Linked DNA regions of Arabidopsis thaliana. The protein of the gene in region 1 purifies or fractionates together with the protein of each later gene. This does not show direct contact. Each region holds a gene or a part of one and is shown in the gene's direction. Other genes may lie near its edges. The genes, in order: AT1G43860 and AT1G09150.

Region 1 (12,887 bases):
AATTCGGAGATTCGAAGTGGGAGAGCTCGTTTTACGAAAAGTGTTCATCAACACGAGAGAGCTAAACGCCGGAAAACTGGGAACTAACCGGGGAAGGTCCCTATCGAATCATCGAGGTGGTACGTGACGGCGTCTATAAGCTCGTAAAAGTTATCAACGGAGTACCTGAGTTACGGCCTTAGAATGCCATATATCTCAAGAAATACCACGAATAAGTACTCAAAAACAATCGAACTACGATAAGGTTTGATCCCTTGGCAGGGTACGTAGGCAGCTCCTAAGAGCGCAGCCACCACTTCAATCAAATCACAAAAGGGCTTAATCCCCTAACCAGGTATGCAGGCAGTCACCTCCGCAAACGCAATTTTGATACTCATTATCATATTTCGCAAAAAACAATCATTTACACTATGATTTAAACTCATTCGTAATCTTACGATACCCAAAGCCCAACACCCGAACGTTGGCGGATCCATTTTGTGATCTCGCTTCCAAAAAGTCGATAGTGAACTAAACTTATAAGAACACATCACTTCGGCTTCATCGGAGCTCACCTACTACAACCAAATCTAACTCTTTCGCTATCAACACATAACATAGTAAACAAGGAAGAAACGAAGGTTTTATTCGCGACCTGGCGATACCACAAGCCCAGCTCCCAAAATCTGGAAGGTCCTTTGTGTGACCTCACTTCAACAGGTTCCCAAGACAAAACAACTCAAACTCACTCAAAGTTTTAACCTTCGAAGAACATACCATATCACATCTGAAATAACTTGGACGCGAAACAAGTCCAATTATTATCCGGAACGTGGACAAAGCGAGGTGATCATACACCAAAATCAACGAAGTGTCAACACTCGAACGAAAGATAAAACATACTTGCTAAAAAAGATAAAAAAAACCTTCCCAGGCATCCAAGTACTTAAACGAACAAAGGATAAAAGCCTTCCCAGGCACCAAGTTCAAAAAGCAGCAAACGAAAGGATAAAAGCCTTCCCAGGCATTAAGTCTGAAACAAAACACAAAATCCTAAAACAAACAAGGAGCGAAAGTGATCACTCCCTCGATTCTCCGGCTGGCGTAGCGAAGACAGTACCAGAACCCTCCGCAAGACCTCCCGGAAACGCGTCTTTATTGGTCTGAAACCTGCGGGAGATCCAACTTGCTTAGAGTAAAGTCTGATACCTCCTTCGATTTGCACCGCGCCTCTAGGTCATCCAGCTCTGCTTGCAGCCGAGGTTTCTCCACGGTCAGATCGATAGCAACCTTGGTGATCTGGTCGATCAAAGCCAGGTTCGTCTCCACCTCAGCCGCTTGCACCTCCAGTACCGTGTACTCCTTTTTGGCAACCCACTTCTCCTTGACCCCAGCTAGCAGCTTCGAATACGCAGCAGCCAGCTCAACCTTAACATCGTGAACCGCTTTCTTCGCCCCTTGTGCAGTCGAAGTCAGGTCCATCACCTTTTTGGAGAGCTCTTCCCTCCTCTGCTCCAAGCGATGAATCTGGTTCCTCGCCGTCTGCTTGTCGGCTTGCAACCCCCCGATCTCCATCTCCATGAACCCGATCTTCTCATCATAACCTTTCTCGAGGTCTTTTGAAGTGGATAGCTCCATTTTCAGCCTTTCGATCTCCACCTGAAATAACAATCAGATCAGAATCATCGAATCATCGACAAATTATATACAAACAAATCAAAACCGAGGTGTACCTGGAACGAGACTTCGCGATCCTGACCAGCCTTCACACTCGACGTCAGCTCCCGGATGAGGGTCTTTCCTTCTTCGAGCTCATTCGCTGAGGGGACCTGGCTTAGACGCTGCTCATAGAGAGCGACCAGCTTGTTTGTGGCAGCTATCGCCTACCGAAAGCAAAACAGAAAATCACAACTAGCATAAAGATGGAATTAGAAGGAGACAGTTATCGATTATTACATGGCCCTCCTTCGCCATCATGTCAGCATAGGCCGCCGCCTCGGCCATGTTGTTCACTCCAGGAACCTGACAATTCCTCCCTTTGACGTGGCGAAGCAGGTTCGCCAACCCAGCCTCGTCCTCAACGATCGGGTGATCACGGTCGTGAGTGTAGGACTAGTGGAAAGTCCGCTTCCCGTGGATCCTCAGCCGGAGTTGGACGTCTGCCTCACTTCCTGAGACCGGTTTGAAGACCTGCCCCCACTATCTCCTCTCTAGGAGAGGCGACCCCCTGGTCGCTCACGAGCAACTCAGCCGCCGGATTCACCTCCGGCTGGGTCCGAGCTCTCTTCGGAGAGGACGGTGCGCCATCAGAACGAACAACTGCAGATGGCCCAAATACTTGAGCAACCAGAATGTTAACTGACTGACCTGCTGCAGCAGAGGTCCCGGTGTTGACCTCAGGAAGCGAGGGATGAGATGTTGAGGCAGATGCGCTGGAAACAGCTAGAATGTTTTGAGCCGCGGTCACCGCGGCCGACAGATCACCAGCACGAGCAAGAGCTCCGGCATTGGCTCGTTGAACACGAAGACTTGGACGCCTCATTCTTCTAATGAGCGGGAGTTCTGAAGTAGAGCTGGAGTCAGGAGGAACTGAACAAATAGAGCACGACATTTGTTAGTTAGCAATTCGAGTTGCTCAGCTATCTCGATAACTCGTACATTTTTTAAACCAAAGAAAATATAACGAAACTCGTACCTACAGGCAGATCAGCCTCGAGAACCGGTTCAATCCGCGGGACCTCTTTGATCGGATCTAGCTATGCTGCTGGAGGGACGATTGCAAGAACTGCTGGAGCTACGGGAACTGCTGGAGCTATGGCAAGAGCAGCTACGATGCGATCTCTTCTTAAAGTGGACCAGTCAGTCTGACCACGTCGGAGAAGGGTTAACAGGTCGAGTTCCGTCTCCGAGAGAGTAACTTTCTTGGTCCTTGCTGCAAACCATCAAAAACAAACAATTAGTTTCAGTACTAACGTTCAGCAAAAAGCAGTCAAGGATTCGACACAAACAACAAAGAAAAATCAAGAGGCTCAGGTCTCCATCTGACCCAGGTTGGTAGACCAGGTCCTTGTTATCCTCGCAGGATCGAAATTGCCGATTGAATGACGATCTACTCTGAAAAAGAAGTACTTGGATCGCCAATTGGTGTCTCGACAAGCCTTCAAACCGCCGAGAACCAGAGATCTGGGACGAGCACTAATGTAGTACGTCCCTTGGTCGCTCCTAGCATTGGTCTTGACCTGGTAGAGCTGAAGCAGGTCATGGCAGCTGAATTCTCTGTTTACTTTCCTAGCCTGGGTGAATAACGCCAGCACATTGCAGACGAAGTTCGGACACATCTGGGGAAAGGCGAGGCCGAGACAGTAGAGCATCTCGAGAATACACGCCGGAATCGGGAAAAATAGGCCACATTTCTCGAAGAAATTGGCATAAGCGCAGCACCACCCGACCGGCACGTTCTCAGGATGCAGCGGCGGCCTTAGGAGTATCATATGTACCTCCACCGGAACCTGGCATCTCCTCCGGAGGTCGACCAGGTCGCTGTTTATCATCGGCGTGCCTCCCCCTTGCTTGGCAGCCTTTTTCTTCTTCGGCTTGTCGGCTCTGGTTGACGACATACGAATTGGATCCATTCCGCCCAGGGTTATGACGCGTCTTTGTACTCGCGGCGGTGACGCCACCGACCTCGTCTCGGACGAACTTAAATCGTCGCCGTAGCTATGGTTGCTTTTATTCTGGGAATCTTCAAAGTCGCTCATCTTTGGTTTTCGACAGAGAAGGACGAGAGAGATGAAAGAAAAGAGCAAAGAAGGCAGATCGAGAAAGAGGGAATAGCAGAGAAACGAAGGAGATAGCAAAAAAAATAAAGACGAGATTTTTCTACTTCTACAAAACAAAGAGCAATAAATAATAAAGAATGAGAGAAGTTACCTTGAGAGTTGTGTGAGTTGACGTGACGTCAAATGGATAGGTGGGAAGTTATTTAAAGCCATCATCACCACGATTTTCGAGATTGCAGAGATCTCTTCTCCGCGCCTGATCTGGACCGTCAGATGCGGTGCGCTGAAGAGACGCTCCATCTCAGCCGTCCACATCAGCAGCGACTTATCTCGCGTATCCTCCTCGAAATCTTTCGGTTAAGGGAATCTGAAATTAAATCGAAATTGTTGAGTTTATCCTCAAAACTGAGTGATCTAATCACATTTATCTTCTCATCAAGAATATTTTCGCAATCTTACCTGACCTATATGTCCGCTCATCGAGTTCGCTTACTCACTCAATGGGCTGGGGGGCAAATGTTGGAGCTGGATTCCCCTCCAGGAATCCACCTGCGAAAATACCAAGCCAGCCCACAAAAGCCCACCAAGCCCACCAAGTAGAGGACCTATGCAGCTGACGAGCCCACATACGCGAATGGGTACTTGGGCCAGATAAGCCCAGTCATCTGATGAAGGGAGATAAGCGAATAATGACCTAGGAACTGATGAGGAGATATTCGCGGAGCGGACCTGATATTTTGGAACTGACCTGATGAATATCTAGGAGGATCTCCGCAGATCCCGGACGAAGCTACCACGTGCGTAGATCTATATAAGGGAGCAAGGACGACTTGGAAGAGACATTCAATCCAGTTCACATTCGCACACACACACTTTTACACTTGTAATCTCTTTTCACATTGTAAAAGCTTTGTCATAATTAATACAAAAGTCCATTCGTTCTTAGCAATATAACTCTCAAGGTTTCAGTTAAGATCTAGCCCTCCTTTCTCATAATCTTAAATACAAATCTCTAGTGTGGATTTTAGAACCCACATCATCTAAGTACATATCAACCAGAATGGGAGAATCTACTAATGCGTCTGCTCAAAGATGCCCCTAAATTAAAAATCCTTAAGCCAATGGGTTGTTTATCAGAAGCTATTAAAATTAGAAAACCCGGTCTGACCGGTTAGACAAGTCGAATCAGAGTCACCGAGTTTCGATGTCTAGGCCGGTTCTCCTAACCGCTAAAAACCTTTCAATATTTTAAGTTTGGGTTGCCTGAATTTTCAGCCCTATACTAGTTGAAATCTCAACATTCACCCTAAACTTTTAGCCACTTGAAAAACCTTCAGAAATAATTTTAATCTCGATAAAACTACATGTACTTTCGGATTTGTTCTTAAAACTACGCCTCCAATTGAACCGACCAGTTAACCGATAATTATACATCCGGTTTGACTTACCCATAATTTAACCGAAACTAATCCGATTTTGACTCTATATTAGCCTAATTTTGACCCACACAAAATGTAAATAAATTGTCTTATTAAGAAGTAAAAGTATTTTTATTAATTTGTATTTGTGATAAACAATTAAAAATATTAAATTATTACTTAATTTTAGCAAAACTTAATATGACAAAATATACCCCAAATTATATTTTTAGCTACATTTTGTTATAAAATTTTGATAATATACAAACATATACATTTTCCTTTTGGCAATCATTTATATTTTTTTATAAATTTAAAGCTATGTCTTTTTTTAAACAAAAATATTCATTTTTCTTGAAATTATAATATATGACCTTTGAACTCTATATATGTAATGAAATTCAAAATATATGCCAAATTTATTTTTATAGATATCCGTAAACACCACAATCAAAGTATATATTATGGTATTTATAAATTTATTTTTCTTTATAGATTCAGTTTTCTTTTTATATATTCAAGATGAGTTATATATGTATATATATATATATATATATTTATATATGATTATGGTGTTTTTAAAAAGAAAATGACCTTTGAATTATTAAATTTAGAGTATATACCAAATACATTTATATATAACACCATTGTATTTATAAAAAGAATTTGTTGTCTATTTTGTTATATTATTTTGCGGTATATTTTGTTTATTACCAAAATATATACTAAAATTTTATTATATAATTTTGTGTGGTATATTTTGTTATTTTATTATTTTGGTAAAATTAATTAATTTATTTTTAATTTTTTATAAAAATAAATGAAAATAAATAAAATGTATTTTTCTTCTAAAGAATATATTTTTTGGATATAAATTGGGTTAAAATAAAGTCAAAATCGGATTAGTTTTGGTTAAATTATGGGTAAGTCAAACCGGATGTATAATTATCGGTTAACTGGTCGGTTCAATTGGAGGCGTAGTTTTAAGAACAAATCCGAAAGTACATGTAGTTTTATCGAGATTAAAATTGTTTATGGTGATTTTTCAAGTGACTAAAAGTTTAGGATGGAATGTTGAAATTTTAACTAGTATAGGGCTGAAAATTCAGGCAACCCTTTAAGTTTTAGCCAATAACTTTTTATTTTCTTCACATTTAGCCACGAACTTAATAAACAAGTGAAGACCTATCACATTTTGCAGTTTCAACAAATAAATATCCCAAAATTTAGTGGCGGCGAGAGGGAAACCAAAATTCGCGAGAGAGAAGTATGTCGAAGACGCTGGTGCAACCGGTAGGGCAAAAGAGGTTGACTAATGTTGCAGTGGTTCGTCTCAAAAAGCAAGGCAATCGCTTCGAGATCGCTTGTTACAAGAATAAGGTCCTTTCATGGCGGTCTGGCGTGTAAGCTTCGAAATCTTTGCTTATCTCCACTATAATCGCTTCAATCGATCTTCGTCGCTGCTTGATTTTGTCGAATTTGGTTACGGGTTTTTGGTTGTTTATCACTGTTAAAAGTGTAGTTAGATGAATATTGTGTTTAAATGGATCATGTGTTTGACCTAATTTGATAAATCGCATCATCAATCTTTGTTTGCGTTGTTCTTGACTTGTCTTGTGTTGATTTTGGCGAATTTGATTTTGATATTGAGGTCTTAAGCCTAATTTTAGCTGTTTATCTCTGTAAATAATGTAAGGAATTGGTATAGTGTGATGAATTTGGTGTTAAAATGACCTAATCTGAAGAGAAACGAGTATCATCGCATTATCAATCTTTGTTTGTGTTGTTCTTTGACTGACCCTGTGTTGATTTTGTTTTCCGAATTTGACGAATTCGGTTATGATGTGGAGGTCTTATACTTAATTAGTTGTTTATTTCTTAAAATAATGTATGGTATGATAAGTTTGGTGTGATGAGGGATATGAGTTAATGGCATCATCAATTTTTGTTTGCGTTGTTCTTGACTACTTGTCTTGAGTTGATGTTTTTGAATTTGGCGAGTCGATTCTAATGTGGAGGTGGTAAGTCTAATTTAGTCGTTTATCTCTGTAAATAATGTACGCAAATGGTAGAGCATGCTGAATTTGGTGTGAAAGATGGACAATGTGTTTGACCTCTTAGAAAAGTAATGAGATTTGAGTCAAAATGTTTATGCAGGGAGAAGGATATAGATGAAGTGCTACAGTCGCATACTGTTTATTCAAATGTTTCGAAAGGAGTTCTTGCAAAATCGAAAGACTTGATGAAGTCGTTTGGATCAGATGATCATACGAAAATATGCATCGATGTATGTTAAAACGCTTGTTTGATTTTCTTAGATTTCTGAAGTTCTGACTCCTTATAATATATCTAATATGTTGCATTTCCAACTCTCATGTTCAGATTTTGGAGAAAGGAGAGCTTCAAGTTGCTGGAAAAGAAAGAGAATCACAGTTCTCAAGCCAGTTTCGGGATATAGCAACGATTGTTATGCAGAAAACTATCAACCCTGAAACACAACGACCTTATACCATCAGCATGGTAGAGCGCCTAATGCATGAAATTCATTTTGCTGTTGATCCTCATAGTAATTCCAAGAAGCAGGTGAGTTGTTTAAAGTTATAATGTAGAAGCAAAGTGACTTGTGGGCTTTCTATCAAAAGCTTATGTGAGTCTTCATTTTGATTATCAAAACTATGCAGGCACTTGATGTCATCCGTGAGCTGCAAAAGCACTTCCCTATAAAGCGTTCTCCAATGAGACTGCGTCTTACTGTTCCTGTTCAAAATTTCCCCTCGCTTCTGGAGAAGCTAAAAGAATGGGATGGTAGTGTTGTCTCCAAAGACGAATCTGGAACACAGATGTCCACTGTAATGATCTATATCTTCAAACATTTTGAACTTCTTCTTTTCTATAATCCTCTCTGATCATGGTGATACATTTCTTGTGTAGGTCTGCGAGATGGAACCGGGCCTATTCCGAGAGTGTGATTCCCATGTGAGGAGTATCCAGGGAAGACTAGAAATACTCGCTGTATCAGTTCATGCAGAAGGTGACACAAGCATGGATCATTACGATGAGCATGATGATATGGCATTGCAAACCCACAAGCCGTTGTTACCTGCTGAGACTGAGACTAAGGATTTGACCGATCCCGTCGTTGAACTTAGCAAGAAACTGCAGAAGCAAGAGATAAGTACTACAGATAACATAAAGCAAGAAGGTGGAGAAGAAAAGAAGGGGACCAAGTGCAGCACTTGCAACACGTTCGTTGGAGAGGCTAAGCAATACAGAGAGCACTGTAAGAGTGATTGGCACAAACACAACCTTAAGCGTAAGACTCGGAAACTCCCTCCTATTAGTGCTGACGAATGCATGTCTGAGATTGACATGGACGACTCTAGAGCAGATTTGAAAGACTACTCTTTCTGAAACTACAATTTTCTCCTTTTGTGCTTTTAATTTTGTCAATGTGTTAAATCTCGTAGTCATATGTGAGTATGAATACACAAAACTTGTGGAATGAAATTTTGCGCAAACTTTAAGAGTAAAAACTTGTGTTTAAGAGACAAGCTTGGATATTTGGTATTTGATTAATAACTGTGACCAAACAATAGACATCGTACGGCTTGTGGTATTTCATTGCACTAACAACAAAAAATCATGACCGATCAGCATCGTTCAAGAGCATTGCACATATTTAACGTTGTGGTCAGAATTTAGGGAAGTTTGGTTAACACATGGAAGAGACCAGAGAGATAAATGAAGGATAGAGCTTGATTCATTGCCTCCCTGATGATGTGCCCTAAGGAACACACACCGATAGAAAGATGTACATTATAAACTATAAAGCATAAGAAAAACTCCCCAAAGTAAAAAAAGAAACAGTAACTCAAGAGATGGTATTGGTGATTGTGGAGGTGACCTAGAAACCAGTTATTGATACAAAGATTTGACTCTTCCTTTCTTAAGCACAATATCACGGCTTATTGGCCTATCCTTATCCTGAGTTTGAAGATGTGTGATGCTGCGCAAGCAGAACATTACCCTTTCAGTGTCTCTTCTTCCTCTTCTTCATTTCACGCGTTCCAATCAAAATTGTTGAAACCATTCACTGCTCCTAAAAGTTGGTTTCCTAAATCCTGTTGACCGTTTGGATCCCGCACCATCATCCCAACTCTTCCGTTCATGAGACTATTGTTACCGTTTATATTATTGATTCCGTTTGCTGCCATGGATTGACCAATCCCACCACCAAACCCACCAGCACCTCCAATATTTGTGTTGTTGTTGTTGTTCACTTGGCCATTCATCAGTAAAACACCAGAACTATTTACATTAGCTTGACCCTTCCCATCATTCCCGAAAGACCCATGCCCAACCATGCTTCCTCCTGAGCTATTATTATGAGCTTGGTTGTTCATCAGGATTTCATTCAGTATCTTCTGCACCGAGCTAGACTCGTTTCCATCAACCTCACCTGCCTGTTGCATTGCTGGTGAGTTTGTGGAACCCATGTGATTAACAGATGGTATCCCGTTTTGAGAGGGATTATTGTTATTAGATGAGGATGTTGGAGACTGAAATGTTGGCAGGTTGTGTTGTTGCTGCGATGATGATGGCACCATGGTACCCGAGGAACTAGGTGATTGCATCTGAACAGAGTTTCCTCCATAGGGGCTGTTTGGAGGATTGTAAGCAGCATTCTGATGTCTTCCCTTCATTGAATTCTGGTGGATGAGCCCTGCGATGCTGCTGGTGGAAGTGGATGCAGAGGCTGCATTAAAGGCATAATTTACACCATTGCTTGGATTACCCTGCATTAGTGCAACTTGCCTACTACTTTGATCACTGTTTGTATTCTGGGAAACTGTTTGCTGCTGCTGCTGTTGTTGTTGTTGTTGTTGTTGCTGTTGCTGCTGCTGCTGTTGTTGTTGCTGCTGCTGCCTAAGCTGGTCGCTGGCTTGCTGAGGAGAAGGACCAGGCAGTGCAGATGAAGGGCCTGTTCTCCGAGGAAACTTGGCTAAACTCTCTGTACCAAAGAAAGAAAACATGACATCAGTCAAATCACCGGAGAATATGTACAATGAAGTTCTGATATAATACATGAACGAAAAGAGTAGGTGCTTCAAGATTAAAAATACCAAATGCATTAAAAGGTGGTCACATAAACTTACCGATTGGTCCTGTTCGTGTTTCTCTGCTATAATCTATCAGGTCCTTCATACTATTTACCACCTCTGAGATCTACAATATTGCAAAATATCAATGTGCATTGGCAAACATGGTCACAGGGACAGACTAAATACAAAGATTGATTAAGTTTATTTCATTTTTATGTATTATCCTTTTCAAAGCTGCATTTTCATTGATGGCAAGAATCTTAAGTTTTAAGCAAGATTGTAGAGTTCACTTGATCCATATTGAGACATTAGTTATTTACCTGCAAACACCGAACATATCTCTTTGTGTATCCCAAATCATTCACAAGTGGTACTTCCAGGGCCTTTGCCAATTGTCTAGCAGATGCAACAAACCTGCAGACCAGTTGCAGCACATCAGAGATCACCAATCAAAAGTCGAATAACAGGATTTGTTACATCAATTTCACAGCGAAAGAGAGGAAGTTTACATATTGCAATTATTTTGTAGCTCCGGAAGAGCAGAATCTGTTGTTGCATTTTGAGCAGCTTGTTGATATTTCTGAGCTGCCGATCCAAGCTGACTAACCTGTATGTGAATACAAAAATAGCTAATTTACCTAAGCTGTTTTCACTGATTTAGATGTGTAATATTCTACTCCTATTGAAATTTGGAAACCACAAAAGATGAAAGGTAAAGTGACGATTTCGCAAAGAAAAGCAGACTAGAATAATATTAAGACAGCATATCCAATTTTGTGACAAAAGGAAAGGCCGCATCTCCAAAATAACTATATGTCAGAGCAATATGGTGAATCTTTCTGGAAGTTACCTGCGGTATCAAAAGTCTTCGTGGAATAAGCTCTTCATGCCGCCGAGCACAAAATTCCCAGGAGAATATCTGAGAAGGAACTTACAAGAATAAAGGGCTTGGAGAGAAAGTAATAGTATAATAATTTGCTGCGAAAGATAGAGTAGCTTGAAGAACCTTAAGATCTGGCGAGAAGACTATTCGAAGTTGGCCATCACGAACAACCCGAAGATGCTCAAAGACACTCTCTTGTGTTGCTTTTGCATACTCCAGGACAATTTGGCCAGATGAATTCTGGGACTCCCTTGGCATATCTACATATAACAGTTCTTCTAACGTCCCACTCTCATACTTAATCTTAAACAGCCGCGGAAGGACTTCGGCGGTTGCCTCTAAACAATGAAAGAGACAAAGCAGTAAGGAAGGAATATTTGATAAGATGTACAGGAAATTGTCTGCACTGATCATCTAAATAACATACCAAAACCACGTCCAGGCTTTCGGTTACATATCTCACAGTGCCACACATCCTGCAATGTTTGTGGAATAAAAATACTCATGTAAAGAGGTATAACATGAAACAAGTACGTAATTTATCCAGAATAACTGGCTCAGGTGCAAAAGACAAGCTCCTTTACAATTGTATTACAAACAAGATAAGTTCATTGAGCAGTAAACCAACCTGAGGGAAAACGCCTGTTGTTTGCCTGCCACTGCCATACATAGAGACGCACCATCTCTTTTTGGCATTAGGAGCAAAGTACTCAGCTACAAATTTTCTCCAGAACTCGATATTATTGTCCTGCATTTAATAGCAAGCACAAATGTCAATTATGAAGAAAAGCCATAGGCTGAAAGAAGTTAAATTTATGGTAAGAAGCTTTACTTCAGGCCTATGTTGTTGTCTGTACATATACTGTGTAAGACGCTGAGCACCCATGCCAGGTTCATACACTGGTTTCAGAGGTGGCCTTAGAGGTAAATTCTGCTGTTGGAACTGCTGTGGTAATTGAGGACGCTGTTGAGGCATAGATTTCAAGAGTTGCTGTTGTTGAAGTTGCATAAGTCTCTGCTGCTGAAATATGTTCATTTGAGCCTGCGGAGATTGCCCCGGCATTTGAAGAAATTGTTGTTGTTGTTGTTGCTGTTGTTGCCTCTGCTGTTGTTGGAGAAACAATGACTGCTCAGAATGTTGAGGTTCCATTTTCACTTGGGCCAAATTTCTCATGGCCTGAATTTGCTGCGGTTCCAACTTAACTGACCCTAGGTTTCTCAACATTTTCTGTTGCTGCTGTTGTACTTGACCATGCTGCTGATCATTCGAAACCTGACCAGGCTCCATCTTAACAGGTCCCACACCTGCTAATCCACCACCACGCACTGTCGAAAACTGCTGCTGCATTGACTGCTGCTGACCATGTTGAAAACTCTGCGTCTCCATTTTCTTATTCCGTTGTTGCTCAGCCAACAACTGGTTAGCCGAAACATTCGAAAACTGCTGACCCTGAACTTGACCTGATGAGCGCGGAGACACCATACTCGACGCATTAAAAGACGACAAACCACTAAACCCGACGTTAGACATCGGGTCAGACTCAGCACCACTTGTATCCATAGAAATCATAGAACCAGGGATACCATTTACAAAAGACTGATTATTGAGAAGAGAAGATATATTTGGAGCATTCCCAAGCATACTCATACTCATATTGTTACCAAACTGAGTACGCGGAGAGACAAGTGAAGGAAATGCTGGTTGAGAAGGAAGAGGAGCTCCTCC
Region 2 (12,689 bases), about 14 Mb from region 1:
ACCTGCAAAACATAATATGTAATACCGTTAAGAGAAGAAGAAATGATAACACATGACAGAGGTAGATTATGTTGCTGAAACACTTGGAGAGGCGATTTTTAGTGCACACAGAGGTTGGTGAGACCTAGTCGTTCTAAGACTCTTCAAATTTTATAGTCTGTCTCATGATTTCGTTAAGTTGGTGTTGATTGAAGAACAACCAAAGTGAGCAGGTATTTAAACAAACACCATGGATTGTGAATTAAAGAAGGTTCAGCTTTTAGACTTACAGGTGAAACTGGAGAATTCGATCTTGATCTTGATCTTGATTTTGATCTTGATTGGGACCTGCAGCAAGACCAAAAACCCCATGTAAGTGTGGCATAACAAAGAAATTTACTGACCATCTCCCATCTAGTCCCGGGAGCTTAAATGCTGTCCTAGAAAAGAACTCAACACAGAATCCACTATTGTCAAAAAGATAAATATATTGAGGAATCAGAGTAATCATAGTCCAAAACTTTGCGATCAGATCCTACAGCTGATACGCGCGGAGTACCAGACCAGACCAGACCGTAAAAACAGAAGTTCAAGTTCATGCTAATCCAGCTTTGTAAATCCAGTCCAAGAATCCATCTAGATGACCCATCTAGATCCAATCCCCAGCTCGTAGCAGTGAGCCAGATCTAGAAAACAAACAACGCAATACAATTGTAATCACGGTAAATGATCGAGGACATGCCTCAGAAATCCATCTTCCCCCTTCCGATAGAAATAAATTTTCAAAAAGTGAAACATCTAGCTAAGTGTTCTTTAAATTATAAGTCGGATAATGAAGATTGATACGTAATAAATTCACCGTCGCTGGAAAAAAGTTAAGAAGTAAAGCTTTATCAGAAGGAAACATCCAGAAGAGAACGACACAAAGAGAAAGGAAAAGGACTAAATATGATGGGAGCATCTCTGTCAAGAACTCAAAACATAAAAAACAAACACATTCACGTGTAAGAAATGAAAAGGAACTCTGGTAATCCCAAACAAGGAGGTAACCTTTACCCATATTGGAGTTTGCATGACATAGAAAACATCAACAAAGGAAGAAAATCAAGTGACAATAGACTAGTCCACTATGAGGGAAAAAAGACTCAAACAAATTCAACTGTGTACGGAAGCAACAAAAGGTGCTTAGTTGTAAGTAATAAAGCTAGTAAGGAGTTCACTATGCAAGAACAAGTGATCCATGAAGGGGTAACTACATATATAATAATGATACAAATCTAACACTCATACCTTGAGACAGAGCTGTATAGCGAGCGAGAACGACTAAGGGGCCGTGAACGCGGGGAAATGGATCTAGCAGGTGACACACTGCATTGCATTTAGAAGTCAGTTAATTTCATAAATAAGTTACAATAAAAATCCCTTATATGTCTTAGGTTTATGAAAAAAAAAAAAAAAAAAAGACCTCCTGCTCTTGCTACTATAGCTACAGCTTGGACCACGGCTCCGACTCCTGCTTCTATAGCTTTTAGAATCATCTGGGCTTCGACTCACACTCCTCGACTCATATTCCCTCACCTGAACAGTAAATTCAGAGATGACTCCATATCCACTTATGCTTAACAAAATCAAAGAAAGCAATACAACATACCCGTATATAAGCACTAGAGAAAGCATTTCGAAATTCAGTGGCATCAAGTTTCCTTATCTGTCACATCAAAAATTTTAAGGGAACATCAAAGATCCAACACTGGCCTCCAGGAAGATAAATTCAGCTCGGTATACTATGAAACAAAAGCAGTCTAAGGCATAAGTCCAGGAACATTTGCGTTGCAAAGATATAAAACTTACTGCGTACTTCATATCATCATAGTTGCTATAATCCACAACCCCAGACATGCCTACAAAGAAATACTGAATGTGAGTTTAGCAGTTCAGATGCTTAACACCTATTCTCCTTCACAAAGACTAATTTACTAACACATCAATCAAAAGCTTATCCAAACTATCGAATGTCAACTCACCTTTACGGTCAGGGAAAACTTCAGAGAAGCAGACATCTCCAGCTTTGCGCATGTGATCCTAATCACCCGTAAATAGCAAATAACATCATTTCAGAAAAGAGATAAATCCAAAACATGATATAGAGAACCAACATTCAGAGAAAAAGACTATATAGTGTCCCTTACCTTAAGGTCCTGCCACGAAGCAGAAGGCGGTAATCCGGTCACAAGCACTACATGTTTAGGTAGTAAAAATGAGTTTTCAAATATAAAATTTTACACAACACCAAATAACACAATCGAGAAGACTCTACAAACCGCGGTAGTCAGAGCGTCTTGAAGGTGCACGGCTCGCACTGTAGCTGCTGCTGTACCTATCAACTGATGGTGAAAATCTACGACCACCATGTGCAATCTCAACCTAAAAACATCACACAAAGATAACACCTTTACAAGAAATTACAGAAAATTAAGCTAGCTTTCATCATGCGTTTACTAACCCGAAGTCGACACCCATCAAAATCATAACCATCACGTCCATAAATTGCATCGTCTGCATCACGAGGATCTTCAAACTGCCACCAATAACAAACTATCTTAGTCATTAGCCTATACTATTACAAGAAGAAGAAAAAAACAAATTTGTACTTGATCAATATACCTCGACAAAGGCATAACCAGGAGGTCTCGGTGGAATCTTCAAATCAATGTCCACAATTGGTCCATACTGAAACAAATATACATAAGAGTCGATTTAAATTGTCTCAGCAAGACAGAATTGCAAATTTATGAACCCAAACAAGTCATAATGAATTCAATTTTTATCGAGAGAAAAGAGGAATTTTCAAACCTTGTAGAAGAGATCTTCAACCTCACACTTGCGAATATCTCCAGGCAAATTCCCAACGTAGATCGTACGATTCCATCGGCTACTCATCTGATACCTCAGAGCAGAAAATTAGTTCCTGTAAAAATCTAGAAGAGAAGAAATTGATTACTGGAAAAATAATTTCGAGAAAGAAGAAGAAGAAGATGTTCGAGAAAGCGTTAGATTGTTCTGGAAAGGAGACAACCACCGTTCGTTTGGAAACTAGTATCCTTTTATAAAACGGAACTGGATTTTAATCCTGTGCGGCCGCATGTATCAACGATGAATAGCCCAGTTGATCAAGATCGGCCCATATGTTTTAATGGGCCTGTTAATATATTGTTCTAACCGGATCGAATGTGTTTTTTCTTATCATTCAAACCGGAATATTGTATGTTAGTTATTACAATTCGAACCAATTTCGAATCGGATTCGGACCATCGGGTCATTCATTCTCCTAGGTTTCCTAAACACTGTCGTTTTTGGACAAAAGAGACACTAGATCGGAAACACTTGGGGATTTTTTTGAGAGAAACATTCTCTCGGTTCCTCTACTACCACCTCTCAAATCTCAATTCGCCGATTAGTAACTCCGTCCAAGACCATTTTCCGCCGTGACACCGTCCACGGTCTCTCTCAGTCCGTGAGTTCCTGCTCTGTTCCGTTTGGTTTTTCTGTTTTGGAATTTCAGTATTTTTCCTATTGAATTTGTTGCGATATGATGTCCAAATTTTTGGTTTGTTGAGTGATGTTCCGATATTTCCGTTATCAATCATCTTCCACTGTTCGCTTGCAGGGAAGAAGATACCATAGTTAGAAGCTGGTGATCATTTTCAATAAACCTCGAACATGTTTAAGAAGTAAGCATCTTTGTCTCTTTCTAGATTCTTTCTCTACTTTTTTATTTAGATAGAAACTGTTTTTCATACCCGGATTGTAGAATCTAAGAATTAGTGGTTTCAACATCTCGGCATTGTTTATACTAGTTGATAAAGAATGTGATGGTCTCTTTATTTAGTATCCACTTACTCTAATAACTATCGAGAACTCACTCCCTTCTACTTGTTGTCGACCACATTGTTAATTTGATTGCTTAGAGTAGCCTTGGTATGGGCATATTGGTTGTTATATTTTCTTCAAAGTAGAAGGTTTTGAGTTCTCAAAAGCTAACATCTTGCTATTGTAAAGTTTTGGTTTCTATATTGATAGTGTCACTATTTGATTTATCAAATCTGTACAAAGAGTCGTGGGTCATAGAGGAAAGTTTGTGTCTTGATTTGACCAGTCTAAACTCTCTACTATCATGGAGTTTGTGTTTATCCATCTCCTGAAACATGCTTATACATTCATAGTGAATCTTGTATAAAGTTTATTTTTCCCTACTGCTATCAACTTTAGATCTATTTGATATACCATTATGTCTATGAAGGTGTTATTTATGTTCACTACTTTTTATTTAGGTTTTGTTTGGAGGAGATTTCATCACAAAACCAAGTGAAGGCATCTGTTCAACGTAGGATCCGCCAGAGTATCCAAGATGAGGTATGTCTGTTGTTTCATTTGTCTTTTTCCCCTTCTTAAACTTTTATGATTTCGTGAAGTTTGTCAGATATAAATATGTTTATGTTAATGTTGCAGTACCCGGGACTTGAATCAGTGATGGAGGATCTACTTCCCAAAAAGATTCCTCTTATCGTAGTGAAGTGGTCTGTAAATTAACAAACTCATATTCATTGTTTTGTTTTCTGAATTTTCTTTTACCCACTATCTATGTCTTACAGTATTCCTGACTATATTTCTCGTGCAGCCCAAACCATCTGACCCTAGTTGTTGTCAACAATGTCCCCCTCTTCTTCTGTATCCGTGACGGGCCATACATGCCAACACTGCGGCTTCTTCATCAATGTAATATCACTTTTCCTTCACACCATCCATGCTATATGGTCTTGTTATCAAAACATAACATATCTGGGTGTTTTATTCATACAATCACTCTTCTTCACACCTGTTAGTCTTACTGTGGTCTGCAGTAGAACTTACCTGGTTCAAATACTGCATATACCTGAATAGTATGTCCGACACTTTTCTCTGAGTTATTTAGAACTTCCTGGGGTTTGGTTCCTGTAAGTTGTTGTTCCTTTGGCTTTTTTCATGCGAGTGAACTATATAAAAGGTCCACGTATGATTGGTTAGCCAGGATTTTTGTTTAGTATATTTTGTTTTATGTTTTCCGGGTTAGCTGACCCTTATCATAGTGAGAAGGTTTTGGCATTGGCTGTTACCAGAAGAGTATAAAATATTCTTGAAAACACCACGTTCAGCTAACTTTTACATACTTGAATGATACATAGAAAGAAACTTGGAGTTTTTTCAATTAGCCACGAATGTCAAAAATTTGGCAGCTGAATGTTTGGAGTTTTGCAGACCCAAATATAATGAAGAGGTTTCAAGTTGATAGAGGTGCCATAAAGTTTGTTCTGTCTGGTGCAAACATAATGTGTCCTGGTCTTACATCCCCGGGAGGCGTTCTGGATCAAGAAGTCGAGGCTGAAAGGCCAGTGGTATGAATAAAAACAGTATTTCCCTGGGTTGCATTTTTGTTTGTATATGCTGATCTTAAACCATGAATCTGTATTTGTTTAGGCCATATATGCAGAAGGAAAGCAACATGCCTTAGCAATAGGCTTCACCAAAATGTCAGCAAAGGACATGTAAGTCAATTTTTCGCTGGAATTTATTTGAAAATACAAACATGTGCTTTGATATACTTTCGTATCTTAGCCAAAATACAGTCTCTTGGCTCCAGGCCTCTCCAAGTAACCCTATCTTTGTCACTTTATTGATATTCCTTCTTCCCTTAGATACACATACCTGCACCAGGATCAATTTTGGCCGTGTTTCCCCTGTTTGCTCATAAAATTTCTTTCGCATCGCTAAACTTTTCTTGTGTATGTTCACAGAAAGAGCATTAACAAAGGAATAGGAGTTGACAACATGCATTACCTCAACGACGGTCTCTGGAAGGTACCAATACTTGTCTCTGGTTTCTCTATTCGTAGTATTGCCAAGCAGTCTCATTGTTGATATAAAAATCGATTTTGGAAGAACACAAATCAAAAGTTTCTGAAATTTGTATTGCAGATGGAACGACTAGACTGAGGACAATGTCAAATGTGAATCAGTGTCGGAGAGATATATTGGTCTCCTTTTATGTTCTCTCTAAACTTATGGAGCTTTTGTCCGGATCAACCTTAGCTTTGGTTTGATTTGTTTTCAAACATTTGATACTTATTTTATGAGGGAACGTCAACCTTAGCTAAGGTTACAGTTTCTAATTCCGTATAATCAAACAAGTAAGATTAAAAAGCTGTTCAAATTTATTTCGGTCAGAATATATTTAAAGTCATCCTAATTGAACTTAACAAATTGCTATAAGCCTATAAAGTATAAACGATTAGGCAGAATGTGCCCACTGTTTATCTACTAATTAGGTATTAAAGCTATAATAGTACTACATACACGTGCTTGCACGATATGACGACGTTGTATCAACCAAAAATTTGTATAAGCCACCTAACATGAGATTAGGTAACACTAGAAATTCGATATGAGCTAAGAATGTCCTCATGTGCCAAATGAAATGACGACATTAAGACACGTCTATTTCGCTGTTGTCCTATTCAATATTAACTTTTACTTTGGTAAAGCGTGGATATCTCCCTTTGTATACTATTTTTGCAAAATGTCGTTAAAACAGAATTATTCGTATTTGTATAGCTTATGGTGATTTTAGGTACTTCTATTATGGATAATATTACTTAAACGCTTTCATTTTTAATACAATTGAATTGACAGAGATGTTTGAACAAAATGATACCTAACGGATATTAATCAATTTTCAGAATGTTATCAAATAAATGTCAAACAAAAGAAACTACTATCTACTCTAATGTATTATAAATTAATAATGTATAACTCGATTAGAGTTATTACCAACCCACCAAAACAGTTTTCTCATCTTACATTTTTTTACCCAAACCAAACACATTATCCGGTAAACACAAAATTTGGCACTCATCTTTTAGTTGGTCCCGGCCCTCACTTTTAGGGGTTTAGGCCTTACTTCAATCCCATCAATGGCAATTCCACCCTTCAATTGATAACCTTTAACTTCAGTCAGACTCATAACAACCTCCTTGTCGTCATCACCTTCTCCTGATCCTGTCTCGAACTCTCCCAGCTCTATCTCCATCCACCCATCGTCTCTCACCTCTGGCTCCCTCCGATGACTTCGGACAACCTCATGCGTCGCCATCCTCTGTTCTCTTTGTCCGTAAAACACACGTTCCATTTGTTGTTTCTTGTTATCCAAGCAACTTAGATAAGTTGACTTTATTTTCTTTTCACCATTTCCCACTTTTATCGATGTCTCTGCCGGAACTAGGTCTAGTCCATAGGCACGTGACGTTACTTTCATAATCAGATAAGCTCCGTAGTTTGTGTTCGGCGATAAAGCTCCGGTTTGGATTTTTCCGATGATTTCTAACCAATCTGTCATTATAAGTTGGACTCCTTCGGAAAACCTATAATCAAAATATTGAAACAAAAATTATTGCTTACACTGTTACACCAATGATATGATTAAATTAATAACGACCTTGAATCTGATCGTGGGCTCCAAGACCAGTAATGTCTTTGATCGCTCCAAGTTATGGAAAGATCTCTTGACGACAAAATATACGATATTTTCCCTGAAAGCTTCTCGATCTTGAAAATCTGAAATGAATTTTAACATTAAACCAAGAATTGGTTCACATGCAGAGACAGAGATAAAGATCACAGACCTTTCTGCCATTATCGATGAGAATTGATTCACAGAGACATCGATAAAGCTCCTTTTTAGAAGAGAAAATTCGGTGAGGATCAGTCGATCTAGAGATGACGTGGCAGTAATCGGTCGGTAAAAACTTCTCCCACACAAAGTCAGAGTCTCCGGCGACTCGGAAAACTGATGAGACAGCCGCCGACGAGATTGTGTCAGCCGGAGTTGTAAATGAGAGGATAGTCGCCACGCATGCTTCTGGTAACATCATCCTTCTTCAGAATTAAAGTAAAGAGAGAAAGCGAGAGAAGATTATTAATGAAACTATGGCTCTGTTTTATTTAGTGTTTTTTTTTGTAGAAGAAATACATGACCGATGATGAGTCGTAAATATAAGCGTCCTAGTAGTTACTATTTTGGACCGAAGTGCACAATCCTGAAATTAATATCATTGCCTTAGTGGAAGACAAAAGGTTCGATGGTTTTTGGTCAAGAAAAAAGGTTTGTTCTCTTGTGTCAAAATAAAGACACAAGAGTTTGTTCCCTGAAAACATAGTTTGTGAATATTTTTGAGGTTTTTGGTTAAGATGATTATGGAAAATATTCAACTTTATTTTTTCCAGTGAAAATATCTTTCTTTTTTACGAACTTTGGCAAGAGTTTATTTTAGGCACGTGTGTTTCCACGTGCCATGTACCAAAGTAGGTTTTTGTCCAGTGAAGTGACTCAAACCCTTATTAGGGATTTATTGTAACTCGGCTGATTAGATTTTTATGTGTTTTGTTATTTCTTGAGAATTCTTTGCGATATCAACATCTTTCATCTTTGAAGATAAGATCATGATAACTTCACTGACATAAACTCGACTTCATCTCGACAAACAAGCCAAGCTCACCGACCTACTATATTGTAGGACATAATATAATGGAATCAAGGAAAACATGTGTATTACTCGAAACTATTTTGTAAAACACTAATAAAACGATGGATAGTAGTCAGTGGATTAAATTCATATACTCTAAATTACAAGGCAAATACTACAAAAAAAAGATACTTAAAAAATCACAAAACAACAGAAAAGTGAAATTAGTTATTATGTAGACATGCATCCGACACCGTATCGACTGGTCGGAAAAACAAGAAACAAAGCACTGCAAACAATTCCGACCATTAACGGAAAACTCTCCATAACTTGATCCATCTCCTTCTCTTTTCCTGGAAACAAACACCCTGTGACTCTCCGATCCGAAAACGCGATCGCCATAAAAACCAAAACACTCATCACTGAATGCACAAAGTCATTAACCCTCAACTTATACCTCTCATCCGTCACCGGAATCTCCTTCTCTGCAATCACATCTCCGCCTCCAAACCCCGGCGAGGGTGGTTTCATGAACACCGCGAGTCCACGTGGAGTCACAAAACCGTAGTAAATTTTCCCATCGGAGGCTTTGAAACTGTCGGTGAAATGGAAGAAGAAACAAGACATTGCGCAAAGAAGCAAGAGAAGATGAATCATGAGTGTGTTGATTCCGTTACAGTCTCCGTCACGGTAGATTGTCGGAAGAACCATTTCGAACATCAAGAGAGTTCCTGTCGGAAGGAAATTGACGAGCATTGATGTCTTCGAAACCGTTTTTTGAACTCCTTTCGCCACCATGCGACGTTTTCTACCTTTTCCTCCTCCCGCGGCGGCTCCTGCCGGAAGCATAGGCAGTGAAGAGAGAGGGACAGGTTTGGGCGACCGAGACGATGTTGGTGACGGATTTTGCGTCGTTGTCGTCGTGTAAACTCTGATTCCGACGCTTTCCTCTGTTTTCTCCATTCTCTCTGTGTTTTGTGACTCAATAGTTTTCGTTTGTTTTGTGAAATGAGAAATGTGTTTTGGATTTTTGTTCGAACTATCTTTAGTACGACGGTTTATCAAATTTTTGTTGTTTCCAGAACTGCTACTGCTTCAGACTCATATCTCGGTTTCCATGCAAATATTCACTTATTCAGTCTGTAAAACGAAATAAATAGAAACCATACAACAATTTTATTTTATTTTTGGGTAACCGGTGAAGTGAGAACCAAAGTAAACCGGACATATCGAACCACGTAACCATACAATCACAAACACATTGATTCTAGATTCAAGATCGCATCATAAAGCATAAACCAAACCGAACAGTAGTAATCCCAAAACCAATCTCATTTCGCATAACCAAAGGCATATATATATAAACCGAAACAAACTTCAATGAATGAGTGCAATAGGATTGAGTGACAATAACAAAATATGAATTCTACTTACAACTTGGAAACTCTTGTTAGTATATCAGCAATTTCCCAAACAAAAACACATCTACGAAGGTAAATGGTCAGCATAATGCCAAGAACGCAATCCAGGGAAATCTTAAACAATGGATAAGAATTGGATCTATTGTCACACACTCTCTCTCTCTCTCTCTACAAACATTTGCATAAACTTCTACTATTACTACTACTTTCCAATCAATACCTGGGAAAAGAACACAAAACCAAGCTACTCTTACAGAGCACAAGAGAAGAAGTTAGATAAGAAAATGAGAAACATACAAATTTCTTACCGGATTTTATGATTTTTTTCACGCACGCAAGTGGCTTCAAGTAGTCACTGAACCTTTGCTTGGTCTTTTTCCTTCCATGGCGTCTTTCTTTTTCTTGCATATTGTGCATAGGAAGGGACCTTCCCATCGTTTAGATGCTGAGGAAATGATGGAACCCCCATTGCTTGATAAATCTTCACTCGGAGATTCATCTATTTGGCATACAGCACATTTTAAGAGCCCAGTTTCCGTATTTGAGAGAAGATCCTTTCCCAATCTACATTTCAAAACACGAGCAAACAAAGACTGATAGTCAGGATCTGAAGTTTCAGTTACTTAACGGGTTGGATAAGAGTTTGACAATATTAACTCATGGCTAGAAGATTACCTATCTGCAAGCACAGCAGAACCTTCTTCAAACAATTCTTCTACAACTCCAACAGCAGAAAGCTTGTTGCCATTTTTGTTGTTGGTATCCATATGGTTTTTCCTTGAAAGAAATGAGGTAAATGGGTTCTGTTTCTTCATGGGTGCTGGAGCCAAGGAAAGATGACCAGATGGAACTATGTCAACGACTACACAAGTCGTATCATCTTTCAACCCTTTTGTTCGCAATGCTTCCTGGTAAAAACATATGATTCAGAAAAAAGAGGAATCTAGACCAGAGGAAGAACACAATGAAATCAACGGGGTTGATCACCAACCTTAACAACAAGTTTAGCAGCAAGATCGGCAGATAAACCACGACAAGCTTTGGCAGCCACATCAGAAGACAGTATATCCCATATACCATCTGAAGCTATGATGAGTCTCCCTCCAGCATCAGGAAGCTGAACGTACAGATAAAAATACTTTTTGATCAATGTCAAATATAAGAATTAATGAAAAATGTACCAAGGGAAAGGGAGCTTACTTTCACTTGCTTAACGTGTGGTATAGGGACAATAAATTCTCCCACATCCGTATCACCAATGGACCTCGAAAGACATAAACCACCAGGCCAGCATCGTAGTGGGCCGACCTATTGCATTGGCATAATCAAAGCACATTAATATCATTGAAAATCCAAGGACTTCTTACACATTACAAACCCACCACAGCCAAAACACAATGAAACAGTAACTTAAATTCACTGGAAATGATCATACCTCATTGCCACCAAATACATTGAGTCTTCCGACCTCACCTCCACTAGCAGTTATGCGTTCTCTTTCTTCAACATTCTCTTCTAGCCTGTGATCAACAGTCAGTAGAGAAACCACACCACCTTGGGTGTCCAATATGCAGCGCGAGTCACCAACAGAAGCAACAGTAATAGTCCAACCATCAATTATAACAAAAGTCACGGTTGTTCCTGAAGTTTCCCCTGTAAGCACAACAGATCTTATCGGTTAGAGCATGCTTGAAAAACAAGAATAGAAAGCAAAAAGCCTTTAAAAAATAAGCATAAGCTAAGACCTTTCTGCTGAAATTCAATGTCAGTTTTCACAAAGCCAGCAACTAAAGCCCTAGGAAGAGCTTGAAGCCACTCATCCCTGCTTGCGCCTTGAGGAATTGCACTCACCACGTTTTCCAGAAGATGTTCCTTAGTATATATGGCAGCTGAATTACCATTGTGTCCGTCAAATATCTGAAGACAAAACAGAAAAAGGGTAAGCTATTCGTCACTAAAACAGAGAATCCTTAAAGGGAAGAATGCCTCAATTACCCCGAAAACTGAAAAAGCCGATGATGGATCACCAGGTACCCTTTCACAGTCAGTTTTGATCAAAAAGTAGTCCTCTCCTTTCTTAGCGAGAGCTGCTTGACCATACTTGACAAAAGGCTTCTCTACTTTCTCGCTCCTCAGCTCCCTACCAATCAGGGTCGCAAGAGGAACGAGCGAATGTTGCGTCCTCGATGCTTTTGACACGCTCATTTTAGTCTAGCCTTCAGCATTGGCTGGAACAAATTCTTTGTTCATCACAGAAAACAAAATTATTTAGTTGCTGCAAACATTTAGGGTTCAATTCTAATAAATAATACTAAGGAACCCTATAACAATCTATCTCCCTAAAAATGAGAACAAAATGGTAACCAACTTTACTAAATTTCGATTCTCATCCAAAAATTTGAGGTTTCTACGGAATTACTCAAAGATAAACTCTTTTTGGTTAATGGAACCAAACAAATAAAAAAATATAGAGAAAATGCAGAGGAAAACCCTAATCTAGAGAATTCTAGAATCTCCAACAATTGGCTATCTTTTGAGATGCAGGAAAATGTATCGAAAGTAGAATCGAGCAATAGCAAAATCAGTAAAAGAACACTAATTGAGGCTTCTTCGCAGTCAATAAACTCACCAAAATGAAATCGCGAGTAGTATACACAACAGATCTAGCAGAAAAGATGACTTGTAGATAATGCTAAGGTCGTCGCTGATTCTTCAGGAAAGAATTTCCGAGCCG

The links.
Region 2: the proteins of AT1G43860 (region 1) and AT1G09150 fractionate together in Arabidopsis thaliana (co-fractionation; one large-scale study listed by BioGRID). This does not show direct contact.

What each region holds. Positions count from the first base shown.
Region 1 is NC_003070.9:16,617,944-16,630,830, reverse strand, and holds AT1G43860 (sequence-specific DNA binding transcription factor), read left to right. Parts: upstream 1-6,336; 5' UTR 6,337-6,445; coding exon 6,446-6,579; exon of another isoform or gene 6,580-7,304; coding exon of another isoform or gene 7,305-7,333; coding exon 7,334-7,463; intron 7,464-7,558; coding exon 7,559-7,759; intron 7,760-7,857; coding exon 7,858-8,025; intron 8,026-8,107; coding exon 8,108-8,587; 3' UTR 8,588-9,234; downstream 9,235-12,887. Other genes in the region: SEU (SEUSS transcriptional co-regulator), read right to left, coding at 9,235-10,187, 10,333-10,402, 10,599-10,692, 10,788-10,885, 11,129-11,197, 11,285-11,499, 11,589-11,637, 11,790-11,909 and 1 more.
Region 2 is NC_003070.9:2,942,900-2,955,588, forward strand, and holds AT1G09150 (pseudouridine synthase and archaeosine transglycosylase (PUA) domain-containing protein), read left to right. Parts: upstream 1-3,130; 5' UTR 3,131-3,493; intron 3,494-3,646; 5' UTR 3,647-3,699; coding exon 3,700-3,710; intron 3,711-4,310; coding exon 4,311-4,392; intron 4,393-4,488; coding exon 4,489-4,556; intron 4,557-4,657; coding exon 4,658-4,755; intron 4,756-5,274; coding exon 5,275-5,411; intron 5,412-5,493; coding exon 5,494-5,561; intron 5,562-5,810; coding exon 5,811-5,874; intron 5,875-5,991; coding exon 5,992-6,009; 3' UTR 6,010-6,260; downstream 6,261-12,689. Other genes in the region: SR30 (SERINE-ARGININE PROTEIN 30), read right to left, coding at 1-2, 270-327, 1,270-1,347, 1,445-1,557, 1,631-1,687, 1,831-1,880, 2,004-2,061, 2,169-2,215 and 4 more; PP2-B15 (phloem protein 2-B15), read right to left, coding at 6,932-7,433, 7,508-7,626, 7,695-7,943; AT1G09157 (transmembrane protein, putative (DUF679)), read right to left, coding at 8,766-9,497; AT1G09160 (Protein phosphatase 2C family protein), read right to left, coding at 10,300-10,519, 10,631-10,863, 10,947-11,072, 11,156-11,263, 11,391-11,608, 11,701-11,872, 11,951-12,160.